Oryzias latipes: one gene and its partners. The protein of the gene in region 1 interacts with the protein of each later gene in a pairwise test. Links are inferred from orthologs where the notes say so. Each region holds a gene or a part of one and is shown in the gene's direction. Other genes may lie near its edges. The genes, in order: bcl2, bnip2 and bnip3.

What was found.
Region 2: the proteins of bcl2 (region 1) and bnip2 interact in a two-hybrid assay, tested with the Homo sapiens proteins (3 studies listed by BioGRID and IntAct). The link is inferred for Oryzias latipes from reciprocal best matches to the Homo sapiens genes BCL2 and BNIP2.
Region 3: the proteins of bcl2 (region 1) and bnip3 interact in a two-hybrid assay, tested with the Homo sapiens proteins (2 studies listed by BioGRID and IntAct). The link is inferred for Oryzias latipes from reciprocal best matches to the Homo sapiens genes BCL2 and BNIP3.

What each region holds. Positions count from the first base shown.
Region 1 is NC_019875.2:25,448,232-25,455,248, reverse strand, and holds the end of bcl2 (apoptosis regulator Bcl-2), read left to right. Parts: intron 1-2,282; coding exon 2,283-2,420; 3' UTR 2,421-3,774; downstream 3,775-7,017. UniProt on the Homo sapiens protein: Suppresses apoptosis in a variety of cell systems including factor-dependent lymphohematopoietic and neural cells. Regulates cell death by controlling the mitochondrial membrane permeability. Appears to function in a feedback loop system with caspases.
Region 2 is NC_019864.2:17,093,436-17,101,065, reverse strand, and holds part of bnip2 (BCL2/adenovirus E1B 19 kDa protein-interacting protein 2), read left to right. Parts: coding exon 1-232; intron 233-2,855; coding exon 2,856-2,951; intron 2,952-3,067; coding exon 3,068-3,135; intron 3,136-3,338; coding exon 3,339-3,515; intron 3,516-4,839; coding exon 4,840-5,022; intron 5,023-5,210; coding exon 5,211-5,313; intron 5,314-5,384; coding exon 5,385-5,516; intron 5,517-5,603; coding exon 5,604-5,690; intron 5,691-5,770; coding exon 5,771-5,869; coding exon of another isoform or gene 5,870-5,873; intron 5,874-7,161; coding exon 7,162-7,197; intron 7,198-7,630.
Region 3 is NC_019873.2:19,568,483-19,576,817, reverse strand, and holds bnip3 (BCL2/adenovirus E1B 19 kDa protein-interacting protein 3), read left to right. Parts: upstream 1-2,808; 5' UTR 2,809-2,939; coding exon 2,940-2,982; intron 2,983-3,240; coding exon 3,241-3,418; intron 3,419-3,510; coding exon 3,511-3,571; intron 3,572-4,447; coding exon 4,448-4,554; intron 4,555-4,791; coding exon 4,792-4,941; intron 4,942-5,226; coding exon 5,227-5,269; 3' UTR 5,270-5,684; downstream 5,685-8,335. Other genes in the region: ppp2r2d (serine/threonine-protein phosphatase 2A 55 kDa regulatory subunit B delta isoform), read right to left, coding at 7,111-7,390, 7,481-7,572. UniProt on the Homo sapiens protein: Apoptosis-inducing protein that can overcome BCL2 suppression. May play a role in repartitioning calcium between the two major intracellular calcium stores in association with BCL2.

The sequences.
Region 1 (7,017 bases):
GCACAAATTAGTATTTTAGTATCTTCAATTCCTACTACTAATTTGTGGGCGCAAATTATTATTTTGTGGAAACATTTCTTTCAATGTCATGTCCAGGGCTCCATACCATCCACCTTGTTATGTATACTAACTTTGTGTGTATAAGTTGACTGACTAGCATTTCCTCTGATTGCTGGGATCCTTTTGTTTGGGACAAAAGCTTTTTTTTTTTACCAGAACCTTTACATCATTTTATTCTTCTAGATTTTAGATGTTACTCATTTTGAACCATTTGGAATTATCCATTACAGATTAGCATGCTTATTGTGTGTAGCATGGCTCCAGATGATTAAAAACATGTATCTGCAAAAGAAAGGGAAAATGTTTCTGGCCTGATTTGAAAATGAAGTGTATTTTGACACCAGAGGGCCTGAGTTTGAAGAATCTGCTGATTCTTCTTCTCTGGTGTCATCAGCCCCCAGCCTCAGGAATGCCACAGTACAGGAAGAGAAACAGGAAATGCTTTTGTCTCTCCACAGCACTTCAGTCTCCTCTTTTTTATCCTCTGTTGTTGTTTTTTTTCATTATTAATTTTTGAAAGAAAATATACTTGTGAAGAAAATTGTATGAACACCATTAGGGTCAAATAAAAACACATGACCCCAAAAATTGACTAAGAACAGTAAAGTATCGTGTCAAAGCCAGACAGATTTGAGCAGATCCTCGTGGAAAGAAGTGGTGCACGAACGCTGCAGTGAATCAAACGCAACACTCAATGGAAGGTCAAACACCAGCTTTTAACATCAAAGCAGCTCAGATGTACAGCTTCACTGCACATCAGCTATCGTGGTCCACCTTAAAACCTGCTGGTGTTTCCTTCCTTGAACTTTTTTTTTTTTTTAACTGTCTATTGTAGTGGGATTCAACTCCAACTTTTCACTGTCTTTGTGGGGGCGGGACAGCAGAGAGCTCGGCACCATCACTTCCTGTCCAGCTGTTCCTGCTGTCTCCTGTTCTGAGCAGATGTCTGCGTTTCCTCATGTAAAACATGCAGCTTCGGCGTTTTCTCCACAGATCATCCTTGAAGAGTGTACACTCGCACACTCTTCACACTCGGAGGCCCTCTGCCAGCCTCCCAGTCGCATCAATATATTTATATCTGGGTCTGTCCTGCTCAACCACATGTGAAGAATAAAAAATTTCTTTTTGCTGATCCCTGTGTTTCCTTCTGGGTTGTTTTTTTTCTTTTTACTCTGAGCGGGAAGAATGTCTGAGGTGTGGGAGGGTGGGATGAGCAGTAATGGATCCCTCTACGGCATGGGTGTAATAACACTCTATTTCCACCCATATTCTGCAGCAGGTTTGCATTTCAAAGCATCATTTCACATGAACAGACGGCCTTTGAGAGAGAAGATCTGTAACCTTAACCATGAAATACATGATAAAGTAAATCCTTCAGAAAACGACTCAAAGGTTAGGTTTTTAGCAGCTTTAGATAGGAGAGTTGGCTTCAAAAGCACAGTTCCTAAAGTATACAATGGCATTTATCGGTATAGATTTATTAAAAACATGATGATGCCATGTTTGCAATCCATAGTAAAAGGAGAAAAAGGATGACAGCACACTAAGTCCAACTTATACAAAATTTCAGGTTTGACTTGGATTTCTTTCATTTGTAATTGAAGTAAATCTTTTCCTGGAGGATCTTGACAAAGGATGCATTTTATTTTGAAGGGAACTTTTATGCGTAACAGTTAAAAGTAAAAAAAACAATTATATATAGAAAAATTTCACATTGGTATAATTGAATTATTGTAAATATTTAGAAGCTACGTTTAAAAAAATAAACGTCTAAATGTCCACAGAAACATTAATAAAATTGGTGGTTCTTGCTAAGTTTTGGTCAGTAAGAAAATGTCTCTTTTGTCATTAACCCTTGTGTTATCCTAGGCACTTTAACATTGGGAGTTGAGTCACAAGAACCTTTTTTCTTCAATGATTTGTGATCTTTACTGGTGTCCATGGATTACATGAAATCCTCTTCACCTTTATCCTTTGTCATGGTAGGGAGAACACCTCAATGTAAGGGTGGGGTCATCTGAGACAGCACAAGGGTTAAAATAGGTGCTGCCGCTTTGATCTACCCCCCACTGAGTTACAGCAAATTGAGCTAACAATTTAAAATCACTTTTTTTTTTAGAGAAAAGTGACTAGAATGTGCAAATGTGTGTTTTTACACTTTTTATTTAAAAAAATCTGAACTGATATTCATGAAGTTCTTGTTCTTCCTGTTTGTCTTTCAGGATGCCTTTGTGGAGCTGTATGACAGACAGAAGGAAACCGTCTTCACATGCTACTGGCCGTCCATCAAGACTGTCTTCGGCCTGGCTGCTCTCGGGGCGGCGAGCCTGACCATTGGAGCATACCTTGCACAAAAGTGAACCACCTCGTTCCCATCTGCTCAACTTTGTGCCTCTTTTGTTTTTCTTTTCCTTTCTCTCCTTTCCTGAGACACTCCTGACCCCTCTGAGACACGCTTCAGACTGAATCTGGTTTGCTTCAAAGGCTCCCTCAGAAAAGTCCCCCCCTCTAGCCCCTTCATGTCAAAACAGACACAAATCAAAACAGGAGAGGGAACCAGAGGCACGGCCCACAAGGCAGAGGAGATGTTGAAAAGATGCACCTGAGATGTAATCACACTAAGACAAGTTCAAGAGAAACAAGGAACGCACGTCTATTTTTTCATGTTTCCTTTTTTTGGTCTGCCTGCTTTAGTATCCGTGACAGCATGAACGTTACGTGTTAGAGTAGACTTTGCATGTGTGGGATTGCAGTTTGGGGGGCTTAAAGGCAAACGGATGCAAAGATGATGACTCCGGAGAAGACGAAGAAGAGAGTGCAACTATGTCAGTTCTTGTCAGGGTGAAGGACCTGGTTTGAACTGTGGACTCCAGTTTACCTTCAAAGCACTTCCTCTGCGGAACAGCTGCTCCGAATGTGTGATGGAAACGGTTTGCTGTTGCTAGTGCGGTGTGTCTGCTGTTCTCACTCCTCAGTGAAGCACCATTAGACTCTCCCAGCCTGTGATGGTGGATGCAAACAGCTTCTCCTTTACAGACTTTTGAAAGCTCCTCCACTTTTACGTCGTCTTTTTTTTACTTCAGGAAGGTTTTAAGTTGATGAAAACGTCATTCTGAGAGGAATAGGGACTGCAGCACACACAGAAAAGGAGGAAAGGAGGAAGCACAATAACCAGCACATTTTGTATTCTGAGGCTTTTACAGTATAACCGCACAATTTTAAGAGTGCATTCCACAGGCAATGAAATGCAAAGCAGACCACCCACATTGGTAATTTATATAAAAGTCTAACAATCACAGAGCTAAAAAAAGAAAAAAACGAGCCTGTTGCATCTTCTTTGCTTCTTCGTGAGTCCATTTGTGGTCAGATTGATTGGGTTCATTCAGGTTCTAGGGGTTACCCTGCCAACATGTGTTGGCCTGGCCCCACAAAGACTCAGTGGAGAACCAGACGTGGGCGGATGTGACCGAGCGGACTGCACAGAAGCAGGACTGAAGGTAGAGTCCGGCGCGCTGGAACCTGAGATGTCTGCGTTTCCTCATGTAAAACATGCAGCTTCGGCGTTTTCTCCACAGATCATCCTTGAAGAGTGTACACTCGCACACTCTTCACACTCGGAGGCCCTCTGCCAGCCTCCCAGTCGCATCAATATATTTATATCTGGGTCTGTCCTGCTCAACCACATGTGAAGAATAAAAAATTTCTTTTTGCTGATCCCTGTGTTTCCTTCTGGGTTGTTTTTTTTCTTTTTACTCTGAGAGTCTAAGAGTGCATTCCACAGGCAATGAAATGCAAAGCAGACCACCCACATTGGTAATTTATATAAAAGTCTAACAATCACAGAGCTAAAAAAAGAAAAAAACGAGCCTGTTGCATCTTCTTTGCTTCTTCGTGAGTCCATTTGTGGTCAGATTGATTGGGTTCATTCAGGTTCTAGGGGTTACCCTGCCAACATGTGTTGGCCTGGCCCCACAAAGACTCAGTGGAGAACCAGACGTGGGCGGATGTGACCGAGCGGACTGCACAGAAGCAGGACTGAAGGTAGAGTCCGGCGCGCTGGAACCTGAGATGTCTGCGTTTCCTCATGTAAAACATGCAGCTTCGGCGTTTTCTCCACAGATCATCCTTGAAGAGTGTGCGAGTGTACACTCTCCTCCCCTGTCTGCAGATGCATCCAGCCATTGATTTGTTCCTCCCATCCTGTTTTATTGATGTTTGTCTTGTGTTACAGGCTGATGGAAAAATTTGGAAGCACGTACATGCTCCAAAATATTTCATTGTAAAAGTTAGTTGTCTATGTAGAGCTGACTTTATTTCTAAGAAACTCTCAAACTTTGTTTTTTTTTTTTTTTTTTTTGCTGCATGGATGGAAGACAGTTTAAAATGCAACAGACATTCACAGCATATACTCATATTTATAACAGACTAGAAGAGGAAAAAGTAACATCAATAAAGCTGACTTTCCTATTTATTACGAGGTACCAAGATCACAGAGATTTAACAGTGCTTTCATTAAATTCAGCCTTTTTAATTTTCTCGTTCTTTTTTATCTATTAAATCACACTGTAACTCGGTTATTTCCTGGCTGCTATAGTAGCGATGTTGAGATAATAAATTTTTGTGTTTTGTGTTAATATTGGCTTATGGCTGCTATACTGTCAATTTAACCCACAGCTTCAACTGCCACGACTTCACAGTACAGACCTATAGAAAGCTGGAAACCAAAGTAAACCGATCTGTAATTTAGCAGTAGCTTCATGAAAAACACTTCAAGCTTGGAGAGGTTGTTTTGTGTTTGTGTTGTCCTACTATATCACATTCACTTTGGTCTTTGTAAAAAGCTGTCAGACTCGTCTCAATCCTCACTATAAACACAATTCTTATAAGAAAACAGCTCTTGGAGTGTAGTGATGTGTGTGAAAAAGCAGAGGCAGGAATAGGAACAGCTTAACAGCAATATACTGTAATTTTGATATATTCTCTGTGCATATGTGAATGTAGCACTCTTGTTGCTGTAGCCTACTGTTTTTATGTCCATAATCGCAAACCCCGTAGCACTTAAAAAAGTGTACTGTGTTATGTTGTTTACTGCCAATAAGCTAGCAGGATCATATTTGTTCCTAATAAACCAGACTTCTTGAGCTAATCAGATACAAGTTGATGCTGTGTGCTCTTTCTGTTGTGTTTTTCCTCCTTGAGAGCGAGGCTGAAAGAGAATAGCAGATGTTTAGGTGATGAGGAGGGGATCAACTGTGTTCCTTTGATTATATGTTATCCATCACACTTGTGTGAGCCTGATTGTGTGTCAAAGTGACAGTCTTCTCGTGAAGGATGGTGGTGCACAGGCACGAGCCGCGCCCCACCAGACTTCAAAGCCTGTCCCCAAACGCCGCACTTGTCAGCCTCGCTGCTAAACACAAGTGCAAAGAAAAAAAAAAAACCCCAAATGCCCTGCGGCCAGGTTTTGTACACCCCCTGCCTTTTTCTCTGATCACACTAGTCTTCAAAGGCTGCAGCCCTCTCGCTGCTCCGTGGAATTTGCACAAGGCATGATGCAGTAAAACTAATGTTGGAGGAGCTGAGTGGGTGCAAGAAATTGAGGAGTGAGGAGCGGGCTTGTGGTGTGCAGCTACATCCCCGAGGAGGCCAACAGTGAGGGGAAGTTCATTTGGACTGAAGGCCCCCACCTCCCACCCCCAATCCCTCCCCCATATCTCCCCGCTCACCGTGCATATAAAATGCGTGACATGCTCTGAAGAGGAATTTTAAATCAAGTCCTGCACTTTCAAAAGAGAGTCCAGTGTGGGTGTGAAGTCAGGAAGATGGGCAGTGATGGGGGGGGGGGGGCTTTCTTTCCCTCCTTTACTTTTGGGGATACAAGGTGTAGAAGAGGCTTTCCCAGCGCTGGAGATCACAAGGGAGATTGAGAGATCAAAGCAGATTACCAGGAGGAGGCCTGGTCCGGTTTTACCCTTCATTAGGAAGTCCATCAGATCTGCACACCCCGCATTTTAAACCAACTTTACTTCCTTAAAAACTTCCTGCTCAAATCTATCCATTTCCCACAAAAGGGGTTATAAATTGCACATCTCAGAAATTATTAATCCCTCTACTGAATGAAGATATTCAGTGAGGAGGGGAGGCTCTTAAATTGTGTCTAACAGTGTCCCCTTGTGGCTCCAAAGCACACACTACACTATTCTCAATATGTGCAACTACAGCAACAAAAAAGGCAGGAAATTATTATCTTCCAAATAATCCATCATCTGATTTCACGGACTTCAAAACGCAAAAAATAAATAAAAAAGATGAATCAGCTCAGATTTCCTTCAGCCTGAAGAAGATTCTCCAAGCTGACTCCTCCAGTGGATGCAGTTGTCCATCCCTGCTCTCAAATATCCTCAGGGCAGAATGCCAGGAGGAGATAAAAGGCTTCAGGGCTCAGAGCTCAGCAGCTTACAGCCAGGCACGTCTGTGTTTTGCAAAGCACTCTCTCCATGGGTGAGATCTAAAGCTCGTGTTATGATGGAGAACAGGAGGAGAGTGTGGATGCGACAGCTTCTGAAAGCAGGAAAAACAGAACTGATCTGACTGTTTGAACTTAAGAACTTAAGACAGATGCTGTGTAACAATCTAGTTATTGGAGAGGAGAGTATTTAAGACATCTCTGAGAAATCCTGGAGTTTTTGTGACAGGAGGTTTTCCTTCAGCTCTCAGGTCAGAGCGTCTCCACTTTTACATTTTGCAAATGCAGTAAAACCCTGAATTAAATTGTAAAAAGAAAAAACACCTTCATGCATATGTAAACTTCTTTTTCCAGAAAACAGTGGAGTGCTCCCGACAGGCAGCAAAGCTGAGGTTAACAAGATTTCCTCATTTTGAATTCTCCTCTTTGGCAACTGAATAACATTTTTAAAAGCATTACTTTTTGCATATTTAAACTTTTTTTCTCAACAG
Region 2 (7,630 bases), on another chromosome or scaffold:
CGTCTAGCCCGTCATCTTCCGGAGTGTCGGGAGATGACGAGGATTTAAACGAGTTACAGACAAGTGCAGCCTCTGTTGTTGAAAATGACAAAGAGTCGGGAGAAAGTCCAACCAAAACAAAAGAAGTGTCGCAGAAACGGACGGGTAATGTGCAGATACAGCCGGCAGGAAGGATGGTCTCTACCCCAGTAACCCTTCACCAGTCACCGTTAACTCCTGAACCCACTGGAAGGTCTGTATTTTTCCTGTTTGGGGTATGTAGTTGCCAACTTTGGGTCGAGTTTACACTATTTCTGAACTTACTAACTGACTTGCTTTTTGTGTGTCAGCTGCTGATAATATTCAACTAACTTTTTTTGTTTTTACCTAAGTTCATCATCAGTTACTTCAAGTCAAAAAAGAGAAACGCATTAAGATTCCTCACAAAAACACACAGTATACTCTACAACTGAAGGCAATAACCAGAATACAGAACAAACCTTTATGACTTCTTTGCTTTTCAAACTTAGTTGCTCCAATGCTGTGGCTTTGACAGTCATTAGGGATGCAACGCTTCATTTAAACAATGATTTGATTCATAGCATAATTTGTCGTTACTGATATGATTAATAGTTTATATTGGTTCATTTTGAAGAGACGATTCACTGACCTAATATCAATCCTTGACATCTTCATCTTCAGCCAAAATTTCCTCCAGTGTGACTCAGAGATGAATAGCTGGCTACTGAACAGTGCACATGCAGTTTTCCAGATTCCTTGTATTTCTTGCAAGATAATCAAGTGTAAATGCAATATGTGTACAAACAAACAAGTAAACTAGAATTAATGGCAAATCTATTCACATTTTAGTTTCCATAAGTGCCGCCCACCGTTTTTTTTTTCACATCAAAATAATCCAAAAGGGGAAAATTATTAGAGCATTCTACCACACTGTATGGCTTTACACGACTTTGTAAACGGAAAGTTTTTCCACACATTTGCAGCAAAGAAATGATGGCTTGATCATTTTTTGCCGCCATCACGTTTGTTGTACGCTGTGATGGACTTGGTCGCGTTTTTACTTTGTAGTTAAATAAACCTACCGTGTCTCAATCCAAAGGGTATTTTACTATATTAATAATCGATTTATTTCATTTTGAAACAATTATGGTATAGGTGATTTGCCTCAAATAGATCGATCTGCTTGGATATTACAATTCATTGATTAAGTCAATTATTGTTACACCTCTAACTATCATAGCTTCCCATAATTGAAATAAGATTTTTACAAAAACAAAAAGCTTTAGCAGAGACAAGAGCTTTAATTATTTGCTAAAAGGCTCCAACTTAATTTCTAGTTTTGTCCCTGGATGTAGAATTTTAGTGCAGAAAACAAAACAATTGTACCTTTTGCAGTGAAGCACCACTAAAATAACCATTTTAATTATAACATCAGAAATTAACGAGTAACATTTTAAAGATAAAGTAACTGTGAAGTAGATTGTTTTTTCACACTTATTTATCTTTGCTTTAATGGAATACTCTGAAAAATTCATGTCTTCAAAAGAATATTTAAAAGCATTTATCTATGTACTTTACTTGAGTCAGCTAAATCTGTATGTTAGCACTGCATGATCCATGTTTTCATTTTCTAAACATTTATTTTTTTCACGTTAGTATTTGTAATGATCCTAATGTGTTCCCACTCATTTTTGTGATTTGTGTGATTAAATTATGTTTGTTCATATGTATTTTTTCTATTGAAATGTGCTGCCTGTTGGCCAGGACTCCCTTGGAAAAGAGGTTTTTAATCTCTATGGAAATTTCCTGGTTAAATAAAAGTTAAATTAAAAATATTAAAAGGCCTGTGCCATTTGCATTAGTAAATTAAAAATAAGTTTGTTGCACACATGCAGAGATGAGCTATTCTGAGAGATCAGTGTGTCACCCAGTCACAGATACAATAGGCAGCTTTAGTTGTGGTTCATAAACTAATCTCTTAACTAAAGCTCACAGGTTTTCATGAATAAATAGAGCTGATTTTAAAGTAAACTACAAGCTTGAGCATCCGAGCTGATTTTGGAGACTGTAAATTTTATTGTGTTTAAAAAAAGTAATTGACAGAGTTTCTAAGTCTGACAAAATGTCATTAAACATTTTATCTTTGACTAATTTATTGTTATGGTCAGAAAACAAATGCTGCTGACAGAAAAAAAGAAAGCTTTCATTCATTTTTAACTTCTATTTTTCAATCTATTTATGATCTTTCATTCTGAGGAGTAGAATCAAGAGTTTAATGTATGTGATTTAGGGAGAATATTTACCTCATATTCTCTTAAATTGTTTAATTTAAAGTTAAAATAGTCAGAATTGCCTCTGATTGACATGATTTAAACATATGTCATTCGAGGGCTAGGTTGATGAAATCGATGAATCATTTGGTGTCTAAAGGACCGGTTTTTGCTCAAATCTTCTTAGATAAAGTGTAATGCTAAAGCGCGAGCTCCACCTAGTGGCCAAACTGAAACGCCCTCCAGGAGAGGCAGAACAGAATAATCTGCACATTTTTGTTGGAGCTTCTTCTTTTTACAATCTTACAGTATGTGAACTGTATCAGATTAATATGTGACTAAAGTATCTTTAAAACACACATATGTAATTGTATTTCTATGCAAATATGTCTATATGTGTAAACTGTAAATTCAAAATTGAATCGAATTGAAACGAGTGAATCGAAAGAATTGAAGAAACCGTGAATTGGTTTGATCTACCCTCTAGTGAATCAAATCAATTCTGGAAATTATTGGTGATACCCAGCCCTATGTCATTCATTTGCCATTTTGCTGACTTTTTCTTTGAATCTTCTGCTTTTGTAGTCTTGAGCGTCAAGAGTCGGTCACCACAACAGAGGCCCGTTTAAGAATGGAAGGAGTTGAACTGAAGGAAGAGTGGCAAGATGAGGATTTTCCACGGTACTGTGTCAACCGTGCATGTGTCATGGCATAGCCATACATTTGCATTGCGTTATTGTTGTTGGAACTTCATCAATCATGCAAATCCTGAAACGAGGTTCTCTTTGGAAAACTAGGCCTCTCCCAGAGGAAGAGGAGCTGGAAGAGGAGCTTTTTGCGGGAGCCTCAGAAGAAAGAGATCCTGGTAAATTAAAGGCCGAGCTGCATCTTCCGTTTACTGCACATGCAGAAGAGAATGTTAACAAATTGTTCATTTTCAGCTTTTTCTTTACTCTCACATTAGCTTAAAAGAAAAAGGAAATATAAAGAGGAACTTGAATCTGCATGTAAATGTAATAAAAGATTCTTTAACAGTCCCCAAATATTAATGCATGTCTTCCATTTCAGGCTATACAGTGAAGCACGACAAGAAACCACGGAAAAGACTTTCTGCTCCTACAATCAACCTTGCACTTGACCGCAGTGAAGGTTCCATCCTGTCCGATGAGCTGGACGAAAGCACAGAGCTGGACCTGGACGACATCGACACGCCGTCCGACAACAGCAATGAGTTTGAATGGGAAGGTGAGCGGTTTGATCCTCATCAAAGCAACAGAAACATCTCGGTTTTAGCATTTTCACAGATTTGAAGTCCCGCCTGCAAAAAGTCTAAACATCTGTCCTATCTTTTAAGATTGACCTTGTAGATAAAATGCAAGCAATCTTCAAGAACCAGGAGAAATCCAGGAATCTAATTTTAACTAGTTATGTTAAAAACCTGACGTCTAAAGGGGTTAATGATCAACACGTGCAAATGCTAGTTCAATTTCTCTGTGCATTTTATTTTCCTGTGTTTGTTAGGATTGTTTTCTGTGTAGCACACCCCTTTTTTTTTAAACATGTATTGTTAAAAACTGCTGTGTTTATGTGTTTCCACCCTGCTGCCTTTCTTTTTTATCTTGGAAGAATTCTTTCCCTTTTCTGCCTGGAAACAGGCTTCAGACCAGCAACAGGTTTCTTTCCTCCTCGTGGTAAGGTTTCCTGAACAGCCTTCTTTATTGTGACAAACCCCCAAGTCAATCAACTCCTGATCATGTCCTTCAGATCATTTCAAACTTATTTATTTTTTAATTGACTTTTCTTTGTCATATAGTTTTACTGGTGATGGAGCTGCTCTTATAATGATATTTATATTTTAAATATTTATGGTTGTACATAATCAAGTACTTATGTTGAATGTTGTCAGAAGGAAGTATTCACCATTTCTTTCAAAACTGAAGCTTTGCTAAAATGATGCAACTCAATGTAAAACATTTTGATTTGATGAACGTTTGCATTCACTGGTTTTGCATGAATGCTGCATGCTGCCTATTATAGTCATTGAAGGGGTTCACTTTTTCCATCAAGTTGTATATTTTTTATTCTTAAAAATCATGATTTTAAAATGTTTTAACCACTTTTTTGTCTTTTTAAAAGAATCCAGCTTTACGTCAGCCAAACTTCAGATTAGATCTTTTGAGATATTTCAAGTTTTTTCTTAAGTATGAAATGTTGCATATAGAAATGTGTATTTATTTATTTTAGTGCCCCCCCCCACACACACACATTTTTGACATAATACATGTTTTGAACGGTTTGCCATAAAGCTTGTTTATTCCTTTCATTCATCTTTGTTTTCCATTTCTTAAAATGAGAAGTAAAATTGAGTCATGGAATTCCAAATATGATTGTTTTAAATCAGATCAAAGCACACCGCCATAATGCTCCAGATTCAAACCAATAAACTGTTTGTTGCATGGGATTCAAACATTCCAAATATCATCTCTGAATCAATTTTTAACACATCTGATCAGAATTTGGTTTTGCTCGGGTGCAGCTGTTTGCTTCAAAAGCCTCTTTCTCGTCTCAGATGATCTTCCCAAGCCCAAAGCTACAGAGCTGCTTCAGAAAGGCGTTCAATCCGTTCCAGAGTTCTCAGCCTCTGAGGAGCGCGAGGAAGGTCGGCGCTGGAGAGTGTTCCGGATTGGAGACCAAGATCACAGGGTGGATATGAAAGCCATTGAACCTTACAAAAGAGTTATCAGCCATGGAGGTCAGTGGTGTTCCTGTACGATCTACCCGAGCAGAAAGCCGCACTGACTTTTGTCTTTTTGACTGTTGAATTCACAGGATAAATGTGTGATTAGACCTCAGTCTGAGCTCTGAAATGATAAAACGTTAGCCTTTCTCCGTGAAAGTACGGGTTCGAATGCTAAAACCTTTTTTCATTTTTCTCCACAGGTTACTATGGGGACGGTTTGAATGCCATAATTGTGTTTGCTGTTTGCTTCATGCCGGAGAGTAATCAGCCAAATTACAGATCCATCATGGACAATTTATTTAAGTGAGTCTTCATTTGAGTCTCTATTGGATCGGGTACATTAGAGGAGCACTAATGAGGAGTTTCTACCACAGGTATGTCATTGGAACACTGGAGCTCCTGGTTGCTGAGAACTATATGATTGTGTATTTAAACGGGGCCACTTCACGGAAAAAGATGCCGACCGTCGGCTGGCTCCGAAAGTGTTATCAACAGATTGACAGGAGGTCAGTCTTTGACCGCAATTCTGAAAATGGAGAGAAACGAACAGATTTTGCTGTAAGGTAAATCCCATTACTTTGTACTTTGTACAGATTACGGAAGAACCTTAAGTCTTTGATAATCGTGCACCCCTCGTGGTTCATCCGCACCCTCTTGGCAATCACTAAACCTTTCATAAGGTATTTCTTTTTTAATATTAATGGAGCAACAGTTGTCTTTTTCTCAATGTGGTTGTCTTACATAATTTTTTTTTTTACAGCTCTAAATTTACCCAGAAAATCAAGTATGTTTACAGCTTGACGGACCTTGCTGAACTTGTCCCGATGGAGTATGTGTCAATACCAGATTGTATCAAACAGTAAGTAGCATGTTTTTCCAAAAAATGACAGGCTTTTAGTACGTTAAAGTCAAGACAGCAGGAAAATGTAGGTGTAGACTAATTCATTTAAGAGACGATTCATTTTTTTATGCAATTAATTAATTAATTGTGACCTGTAATTATTAATCACAATTATTCTTTACTCAATAATTGCTTTAAAAAGCCACACACTGGGAGCAATGTAAGAGACATTTTCAGGTGTGTTCAAATAAAAAACATCCATCCAAGTAAACAGTTACAACAGAGAACATGGCAATTGTTTAAGATTTGAAATTAGATAAACATGATTTTTTTTTTTTTTAAGACGCGCTAATTTGACTGTAATCAATTGCAAATTGCACGATAATGTGACATCCCTACTTTAAACAAATTTCTATTGTTGATTCAAAGCAAAACTTCAGCAGAAGTAAAAAAAAATGTTTCATTGGCTCTGCTCTTTTTGGGCCCATGTTTATTTCCAAAACATTTCTTTTGAGTTTTAATTGGCAGTGAGAGTCCAGGTGTGATCCTTCAAACTCCTTGAATAGACAGTTCGGACTTCATCCGCCGGTTGTGACCATATCTACTAGATACAGTCCACTGAGTTGCAGTCTTCTGTGCGAGTTACTCTTGGGGAACTATAACTAATGTAGCCTAAATCATTTTAAATGAAAGGGACAGTTATCACGTCTCAGGGGGCCGGGATGAAATTAAATCCTCAGATGAGAGGTGCATGCTTTGACCTAAAACAGAACCATTACCATAAAAAAGAGAATTAAAAGCAAAGTTCCTTTATCATTCTGACTCAGATGATCTTAAGACAATAAGGCACAGACAAAATGTACCGTAATAAAAACAGTCCTGCGTAAAGCTCCGTACACAGGGCGTGTGATCCACCTTCAGTAATGTGCTCTCTCAGCCTGTCATTGTGGCCCCGTGACAGACTGGCGACCTGTCCAGGATGTCCCCTGCCTTGGCCCGCAAGTGGCTGAGATAGGCTCCAGCAGCTCTGTGACACCGAAAGGGACAAAACGGATTAAAAGATGAATGAATGAGCCTGAAACCCTCATCTGCACCTTTACACAGACTTAACATCTAAAGTGGTCACTTGAATGCGTGTTGTGTATGCAGCTGAACAGTTTTTGCCCTTCAGAACATTTTCCATCAATGTTTTTAAAGGCAGTACACCACCTCAACCTAACACATTTAGGAAGAAGTGTCTGCTCTGTTGAATTTGCTGTTAGTTGTCATGTTTCATGTGCTTAACCCAGTCTCCCTGCCCCCTCCTAAAGGTTTGATGCTGAAAAAAATAGGAAAAACCCAAAAAGGTATTGGCACTTTCTTCAAGGGTTGGTCACTGCATCCTTTTTATTTTTTATGGAACTAACAATTAGAGAATCTGGTAGCTTTCAGAGATGCACTAAGGCACCCGCTCTTCATAGATTTAGGATTTATTGAGTTTGTTTTGCATTCTCTCCAGTTCAACAGACATTTTTTTTCCAGGAAAACAAATTGTTGTTGTCTAGTCCAATTCTGCAATATTCCCATAAAAAATCTTTCTACTTCAAAAAAGCATTTGGTGTAAAACCCACTTATGAAGCTTTTAGTACAATCTTTCTCAGTGATGTTGATCATTTGGTGGAATCTGGATTGTAGGCAATGAAACAGGCCTAGCGTGGCTAGCATTTGTTAGGTCCGTCAAGTCTGTTTAACTGAACAGATTAAGACGGAAAGGAAGGAAGTATCTCATCTGAGTCACTG
Region 3 (8,335 bases), on another chromosome or scaffold:
GGGTGTATAAACCACAGACCATAGACAAACGCCCAGAGCAGAGCAGCAGATAGTCAAGAAAATTATACACAAATTCTTGTTGTTTAAACATGGATGATTTTTTTTTAAAGCCAAGCGCACGATGCATACTTTTTAAAATACTTTTTCCATCCTGAATATTTTAAAGGTGCAAGACAATTAATTCTGAAGGATTTGAGGAGCCTGAGGATCAGATTAAATTCACCCCATGATACCTATTATCTTACCTGCTGTCTGGGCAAAACATAGAATATTAAATATGTCAAAAGTGTTTGAATAGTTTTGTTACAAAACTAAACTGTGACATCTGTGATACCAATAAATAACACAGAAGGCGCAGATATCTTTCTAATAGTAAAATATGTCACACAATGTATTCTCAGATCATAAAGGATGTGTTTCCTTTCAGGCCAATTGTCAGATCAGTATTTTAAAAACTTACTTGTTTTTGGTCTCAAAGTCTCTACTGGGATCTTCTTAAGTCATGTTTTCCCTCTAATTTAAAAAGATTAAATTGCATAAATGTAAACTAAAAGGTTATCTAATGGAAACTGTGAATTAAATCAGAGTCTGGGACTTTTGGGAATTCATTGAATTGTTGTGATGAAATCACAACTTCTGTCTTTAAAAAAATCCCCAAAAAGAAAAAAATGGAGGTTGCCATTGGCACCATTGTAGTTTTCTGATCTAAATCTTAGAAACCAATCAGCCTAGCTTTTGTCCACTTCTTTCATCTTTTATCTTTCACACAACCTGAGAAAAAGTTGAAAGAAAGACAAGGCCATAGTGCTTAGATTTTATTTAAAATATTCATTGATGCATTGCTATTTTAACACTTTATTTAACTTTTTAACTTATTAACAATTGACAGTGCTAAGGATCTGGCCTTCACCCAACAATATAGCTGGGTTGACTCCAACAGCCTCGTGAACCCAAAAGGGAGTTCTAAGAATGGACGGCTGGATGGACGCTGCTAAACCATGACTTCTGTCTTTTAGCTTTTTTTTTTCCGGACGACTTTACAGCAGTCTGTTGAAATGGTTTTGCAATTTGATGCATTGTTAAACATTTGTAATTTAACATATTTTTTACTTTAAAAAGATTGTCTATTTAGGTTTTGTTTTTTAAAATTGAAAACTTAGCAATTGTAAGTAAAATAAATGTTTTTATTGTGTGCATTGCAGTCAGCCACCTTTACTCTCTTACTCCATCCATTCATCCATTTTCTTAACCCACTTCACTCCTTCCATGGTCCTGGGGCTGCCAGAGCCTAACCTGGCTGCCATTGGGCCAAGTCAGGGTACACCCTGGAGAAATCCTCAGCCTATCGCAGAGCAACACAATCACACACCTAAACACACTCACAGTTACACCTTAGGAGAATTTGGAGTAACCATTCGACAGATGAAGCCCGTCTTTGGATTGTGAAAAGAGGCTGGAAAGACTCTGGAGAACACCCACCATTTGAACTGGGACCCTTTCACTGTGAGGCAAGAGCGCTAACCACTGTGCCACTATGCAGCCCTCCTACTCCAAAAGAAGAAAAAAATCCAGTCAAACTTAACTTCCTTCGGATTAGCCTTACTCTCAATTAGTAAATAGAGTCCACCCATCTGTTTTTTAATCTCTTTATAAACACAGCTGCTCTGCAAAGGCTCTAGTGGATTGTAAGAGAACTTTGGTAAACAAACAGCATCATGAAGCCTGTGGAGGACACTAGATCAGGAATAAAAGAGGTGAACAAGTTTAAAGCAGGATCAGTATAGGAGAGGCCTCAGAGATCTGGAGTTCAAGTGGGAAAACCTGTCAAACAAAGTAGCCGTTAATTGTTAACTAAGCAAATATTTGTATCTTTGAGTGGCTGAAAATCAATTTCTTAAAAGAGAGCTACAATATAGCCTTATTTTCAGTTTTGTATTCTTAACTAAAACTCTAATGATAGTTTTTTTGGGGAAAAAATCAGATTAGAAGAAAATTATTTTTATTGTGTGGATTGAAATACTACCGGCATGTTAGGCAGAACACTAACACTGAACATCCCCCTGAACTCACACTCTAAAACATGGTGGTGGAAGAATCATATTTAGAAAGGTTGCTCTTTAGCAGGGGCAGGGGGGCGAACCTAAATATGCAGAGAATCCATTCAGAGCTACAATGAAGCAGATGAGATCTAAGATTCTTTCTGTTAGAAGCTCATGTGTTCATGGGAAAAGACGTTGACATGGTTGAATCCCCAAAAAGTGATTAAACTGTATTTCTGGGATTATTTTAGGCCTCTGATCAAAGCTAATTTTCATGAAATAATAATAATAAATAAATAGCCAGTAATCGCAAGCTTTTTCTTTTCTTTTTTTTTTTTTTTGCTCATGTAATCATTTGTCTTTCTACTTTCACCTAAATAAAAATAATATGAAAAAAAAATCACATAATTGTATCACATCCTGTGTGATAAAAGTGCTGATTCATGTCATTTTAGTAATGTAAACTTTTGATTTTTTTTATTGAATCAATCTATCACGGCATGTCTGTCAATGACATCAATGTCAAATAGGTAAAAATAAAGGTAGACAAAAACACGTATGAAAACAAATATAACTTTTGAAAAAATTAATAAAAAATAAGGGGAAAAATAAATAAAAATAAGGGATGTTAGTAATATAAACAGTATCGCGTTTAAAGCTCACGAGAATAAACGGTAACATCCATGTTTAAGCGTACAAGCGAGCATGCGCGCTGATGTCAGAAGTGCGTTCTCAGCATGCAAGGCGCATGCGCGCCCTTCATGTGGAGCCAATCGTCTTTAAGATAAACACAGCGTTGCGTCATTGTTGTTTCAGCACTCTAAACTCCAGCTGTTTACAGACATTTCACCTTCATTCGAGCCTCCACAGCCGTGAAAGAACCAAGACTACAACGCAAAAATGTCGATCCAGAAGGATGCTTCCTCTGACGAGAGTTTGCAAGGTAACGTGTTCATAAATCTGTCATGTAAACATCCATTAATGTTAACGAGTGAGACGAGGTTAATCCAAATTTTAGTACCTCTAATGAATCGAAGTGATTAGTTAGCATCTTCCACCACTGTTGAAGCCAAACTAAAGGCTTGTGTTTTGTTCCACTAGACGCTTGAGCTCGATTAGCCCCCGTATGGTATGCTAACAATAACAATGACAACATAGCAGCATGGATCCTGACTGCAGCCTGCCTATGTTTTCATCTGAGGTTCCTGGGTTGAGCTGCATTTCAGCGGGAATGGGTCTCAGGGGACATGTCACCGAGGAGGCCAGGAGGAGCAGATCTCCACGTCCAGCCAAGAGGGCGACGCGGTGGAGCGAATGTTGCTGGAAGCACAACACGAGTCCGGCAGAAGCAGCTCAAGAGGAAGCTCCCACTGCAACAGGTTGAAAAGAGGAAGAATGTGTTTCCACCATTTGTTGCGAAATGTTATTTGTGTGGACAAAGTTTAAAACTTGTATTATTTTTTTTAAACAGCCCTCTCAGATCACAGACCCCTCTTCTGGTGTGGAGAGGCTCGGAGGGGAACAGCTCACAGGTGAACACAACAAACATTTTGACTCATTAAATGCCTAGAAAGGCCACTATTTTAAACTACGAAAAGGTAATTTTTTTGACAAACAGGATAACATATTACAAATTGATCATCGTTTATTTAAATGAAAACCATCCCTATTTCTTTACATGCTAATAGTTTTTAATAGATGATGCGTTTCTGGTTTTATGTTAATTTGATTTAGGTTATTCTGTTTTATTATTTGCATTTAGGTCTTGATATGTCAGATAACTGGGCAAAATATTGTTTATAAGTCTAACCATCTACAAGTTGTTGACTTTCCGATACATTCCTTCAGGGGTCGCCACAGTGATTCAGCATTCTCTGATAGTGGTTAATTATTTAGAATAAGCATAAAACAAATATTCTTACCTCCTGCTGAACATTGTCTAGCTGCCGTTTAGAGAGAAAATTTTGAGTTGTGTTTATTTGTACAGATTTTTTTTTTGGGTGCCTTTTTTGCATTTTAAATGCTAAGAAGTTCTTATTTAACACTGGGTGTATTTTATTTTGAAAGGAATTTGTATTTGTTCCTGTCAAAAGTAAAATAAATTGAATTTATAATATGTAGAAAAATGCAAGACTTTTATTATCAAATTATTATGAATATTTTAATGGTCTGAAAAACATTAATTTTTATAAGCGGCAAAGTGGAACTTTGTGGCCTTTGGATTAATAAGAAACTAGTTCAATTGGCTCTTTTAGTGTTAAAGGTTGAAGAACCCGGCTTTAAACTATATATGTTCAGTTTGAAAAAATTTGTTGTAAAAAGGGATTTGCTGCCGAATGGTTTCAGGAAATGCGATGGTCACTTGTTGTGTTTTGGCAACACTTGCTTATCTGTTCTTGTGTTTTTAGTCAGATGAAGACTTCCAGGAGAGGAAGCGGGAGGTGGAGAACCTGATGAAGAAAAATGCTGACTGGATCTGGGACTGGTCCAGCCGACCGGAAAACAGCCCTCCCAAGTAAAGCCGATCATTTAATTATTATTTTAATACGCTGCCGTCATTTATTTTGAAGCCCAAGTATTCAAAAAGTAGTTTATTTGTAACAATATTCCTGGTAAGTGCATTTGCTTAACTGCATCATTTTGATTTTCAGGTTTTGGATCTTTGTGGGCTTAGAGTGGCAGGCTGACATTAAAAGTCTGATCTATTTTTAATGAATTGAAAACGCTGAAATATTCATGGGTTCCTCTACAGGGAGTTCCTGCTGAAGCGCCCCAAGCGTGCGTCTTCTCTCAGCATAAGGAACAGCAGCGTCATGAAGAAGGGAGGAATCCTGTCCGCTGACTTTCTCAAGCTTTTCCTTCCTTCGTTAATCATTTCTCACATACTTGCTGTTGGCTTAGGGTAAGCAGCTTTGTTTAATATCTAACTTTTTTTAATATATGACCACATAAAGTTGAAACATGTACCTGTACTTTCACACTAAAAGCTTTTATTTTTCAGATTACTTTGCATATTAATCTGCATATTTTTTAATTGCTATTATTGCAGTTAGACTCAGTAATTTTAGGATTCTTTAGGGAGATTAACAACTTTTTGTACTTTCTTTGAGTATCAAGTGGTGTATTTTATTATTAACTTTATAAACTGTAGGTTTTGATTTTGATTCATTTTTCCTACTTCTTCCAGGATTTACATTGGGAAGCGCCTTACTTCCCACCACACCTACTAAAAATGGGGGATGAATGGTTGCACACCTTACTTCAAACAGCTCGGCATGCCTTAAAAATGAGACACCCTGCAGCGGAAGAGGAAAAGTGGCCTCAGGTTGTGGAGAGCTGTGACATTTTCTCAGCCGTTTTGCAGCCTAAACCTCTGAGCGCAGCAGCGACCGATCCGCTGCACCATCTGTCCTATAGAGGACAGTTCTGCTGCTTTTTGCTCCTGTAATCTGCATGCAAAGGAACTGACTGGTACTCAACTCATGTATTTTATTTTTTTCAAATTAATCTTTGAGATCACGTGCTGTGAAATTTAATTTTTTTGATCAACAAATATATAAGGGAACTGTGTGAATTTTTTTTCTTTTATGCATCGAAGGAATCAACAGCAGCACTTGTAGATGAATAAACGGTTAGATAGTGAAATGTGGTTCGTTTTGTTTGTCCCATCAAGAGTTTAACTGAGGAAAACCAACCATGCAGATCAACACAATTAAAATTTTTATTGAACTTTGGTCAAAATAATAAGTGAATACATTGCCACCATGTTAGGAATCAATGGACAAAGACAATGCATCGTGTGTTTTAATGTCATATGTTCTGCGTAGTCCACCTTCATTTCTGCATTTCAAACTGGAGAGCCACATTTTGCAGTTATGCGGATCAATTTGGATGGCATCCCTATTAATGAATAAGGGCACATGTATGAGGCCTGTCTTGTGTTTCCTACTTATTACAGGGTTCTGAGGCACTCCATCACAGAAACTGTGCAATCTTCCTCCTTTGTGTTTCCATAGACAGCCACATGTAGCAGCAGCGTATGAGGACATAACTCTAGAAAATAGGATTTATAAATAATGCACATGAGGTTTGTAAAAACGTTTGGGGATGTTAAAAGTCGTAGCTGTCACTGATAGAAGTAGGTATTAAGGCTGCAGATTCCCCTTTGTCCTGGACCCATTAACGTTCCATTCCTTAGAACTGAAGCTTAACCTCTCCACAGAAACACATAATGAGCCGTTTCCAAAACCCATGGCCCCCCAAATACTATTTCCATTGACGTTTTCTTGGAGATCTGCTCAATAGACAGTGGTGTGACTGGACATTTTCCACCTCTCTACAACATAAAAAACATGCAAAGCAATAAACATGTTTTAATACATACTTCTAAATTTAAAAACACATCTGTAGTTTTAGTTTCTTTTTATTATGTGGATGACAAGGTGTATTTAAGTAGATACAGTCAGTGAAGTTATATCACCTGTATTAACTGGGGTAAAAAAAGACGGGAGGGATGAGGAGAAACAAGTCCACTTTCCAAATTCACGACCCCATTCCGCTCGTAGTTTGGCCTAAAACTATAGGGCCAACGCGGGAGTGTTGACGGCTGGCGTTAGCGGCCGTTATTCCGTGCTTGAGGACCCCGAGATCTTTGAAAGATGGATTCAACCTTGACAAGACGCCGTTATAAAGAGTTCAGATGTTAAATGGTGAAATGAAGGCTTAAAATGTCAACCAAAAAGAATCAGCAACGCTCAAGAGTTGGACCTCTGCCGAGTGCCTTTCCGTCGATTAGACCGGAATTGGGCTTTCTGGGATGGGGGGGGAGGGAGGGGAGGCATGTTGATGGCCCTGGTTGCCCACAGGCGAAAATCAACCTAAGCTCGAAATAAAACAGCCTATGAAAACCTCCTGTGGCCAAAAAGAAAAAAAAAAAAAAAGTAGACACGTGCTTTCGAAATCTTCACCAGGAGGACAACAAGGCCGTTTTCTTCTTATACAGATAGACAAGTAGTAGGCTTAACTACACAGGTACGGTAAAAGCCCTATCCTCTGGAGCCCCACCAATCTTCTAGTTGATTTTGTCCTGGAAAATGTACAAGTTGTTGGTGGCTGCCACAGCTATCACATTATCTTTGGGGTGCCAGGCAGTGTGGAGGATCTTCTTATTGAAGTCCAGGCTGTCCACGCTGATCTCGTCCTTCTTCCTCTTGCCACCGGTGGACACTTTCCGTGGTTTGAGGGTGGCCCTGGGTTTGCTGCTCTCCCGGGACGCCTCCAGTGTTATGTCCCGCCGGGTGTTGCGGTCGAACATTCGGAAGAAGTTGTTGTAGGAGCCGGTCATGATGGCACTGACGGAAAGAGTTTGGTTTTTTAAAAAAAAAAAAAGGCGAGGGCGGGTTTTCCCCGGACTGTTTCTCTGCGACAGTGAGGAGGCTTACCTGTCGCTGCCATTCCAGCAGCATTCAAACTTATCAAAGATGCAGTCATTTTCATACAAGGAGCAGAGTTTACTGCGAAGGTATTCATGAACCTGGAATAAAACACAACTAAATATAAACACTGAAAAGAGAGAAAAAAAAGGCTCATTCAGCTCATACAATAGGCCTGCACAATATACCGCAAATTTATCGTTATCGCAATATCCAGCTCTGCAATATGCATATCGCAAAAGACGGCGAATATCGCAATAAATCGCAAACCCAAAATGTGTTAAAACAATCTTCTAGCAGCTTGAAGCATTTAACACATCAAATAAATCCCTTTATGCTTCTACCAATCAGATGGACGCCTTCCCATTGTTGACCAATCAGATGGAGGCCTATTATGTTAACCCTGGTCCTGAAGAGCCTCAACCCTGCCTGTTTTCCAGCTCTCCTTAACCAGCTTGCTGTTGATTGGCTGACTCAAGTGATTTCACATCCTGATTGACTGAACACACCTGACTTTGGTTATCATTATCGAGCAGTCTAGGGAGAACTGGAAAACAGACAGGGTTGAGGCTCTTGAGGACCAGGGTTAGCCACCCTGACGTTTGTCCCCCATGTCGATGAGGGTCATTTGGAGTATAATTTTTAAACTGTTGCAATGAAATGGGAATTATGTTTTTGTTTATTTTTCTATTTGTTTATTTACCGCAAATTTATCGTTATCGCAATATTGATCACTACTATCGCATATCGCAAGTTTTCCTCATATCGTGCAGCCCTATCATACAAGATCATCTTTCTGCCCGTTTGGGGTTTTTAACCTCAGTAAAAGGTTCATAGGCAGCAGAGCTAAACACCTTTAAGGCA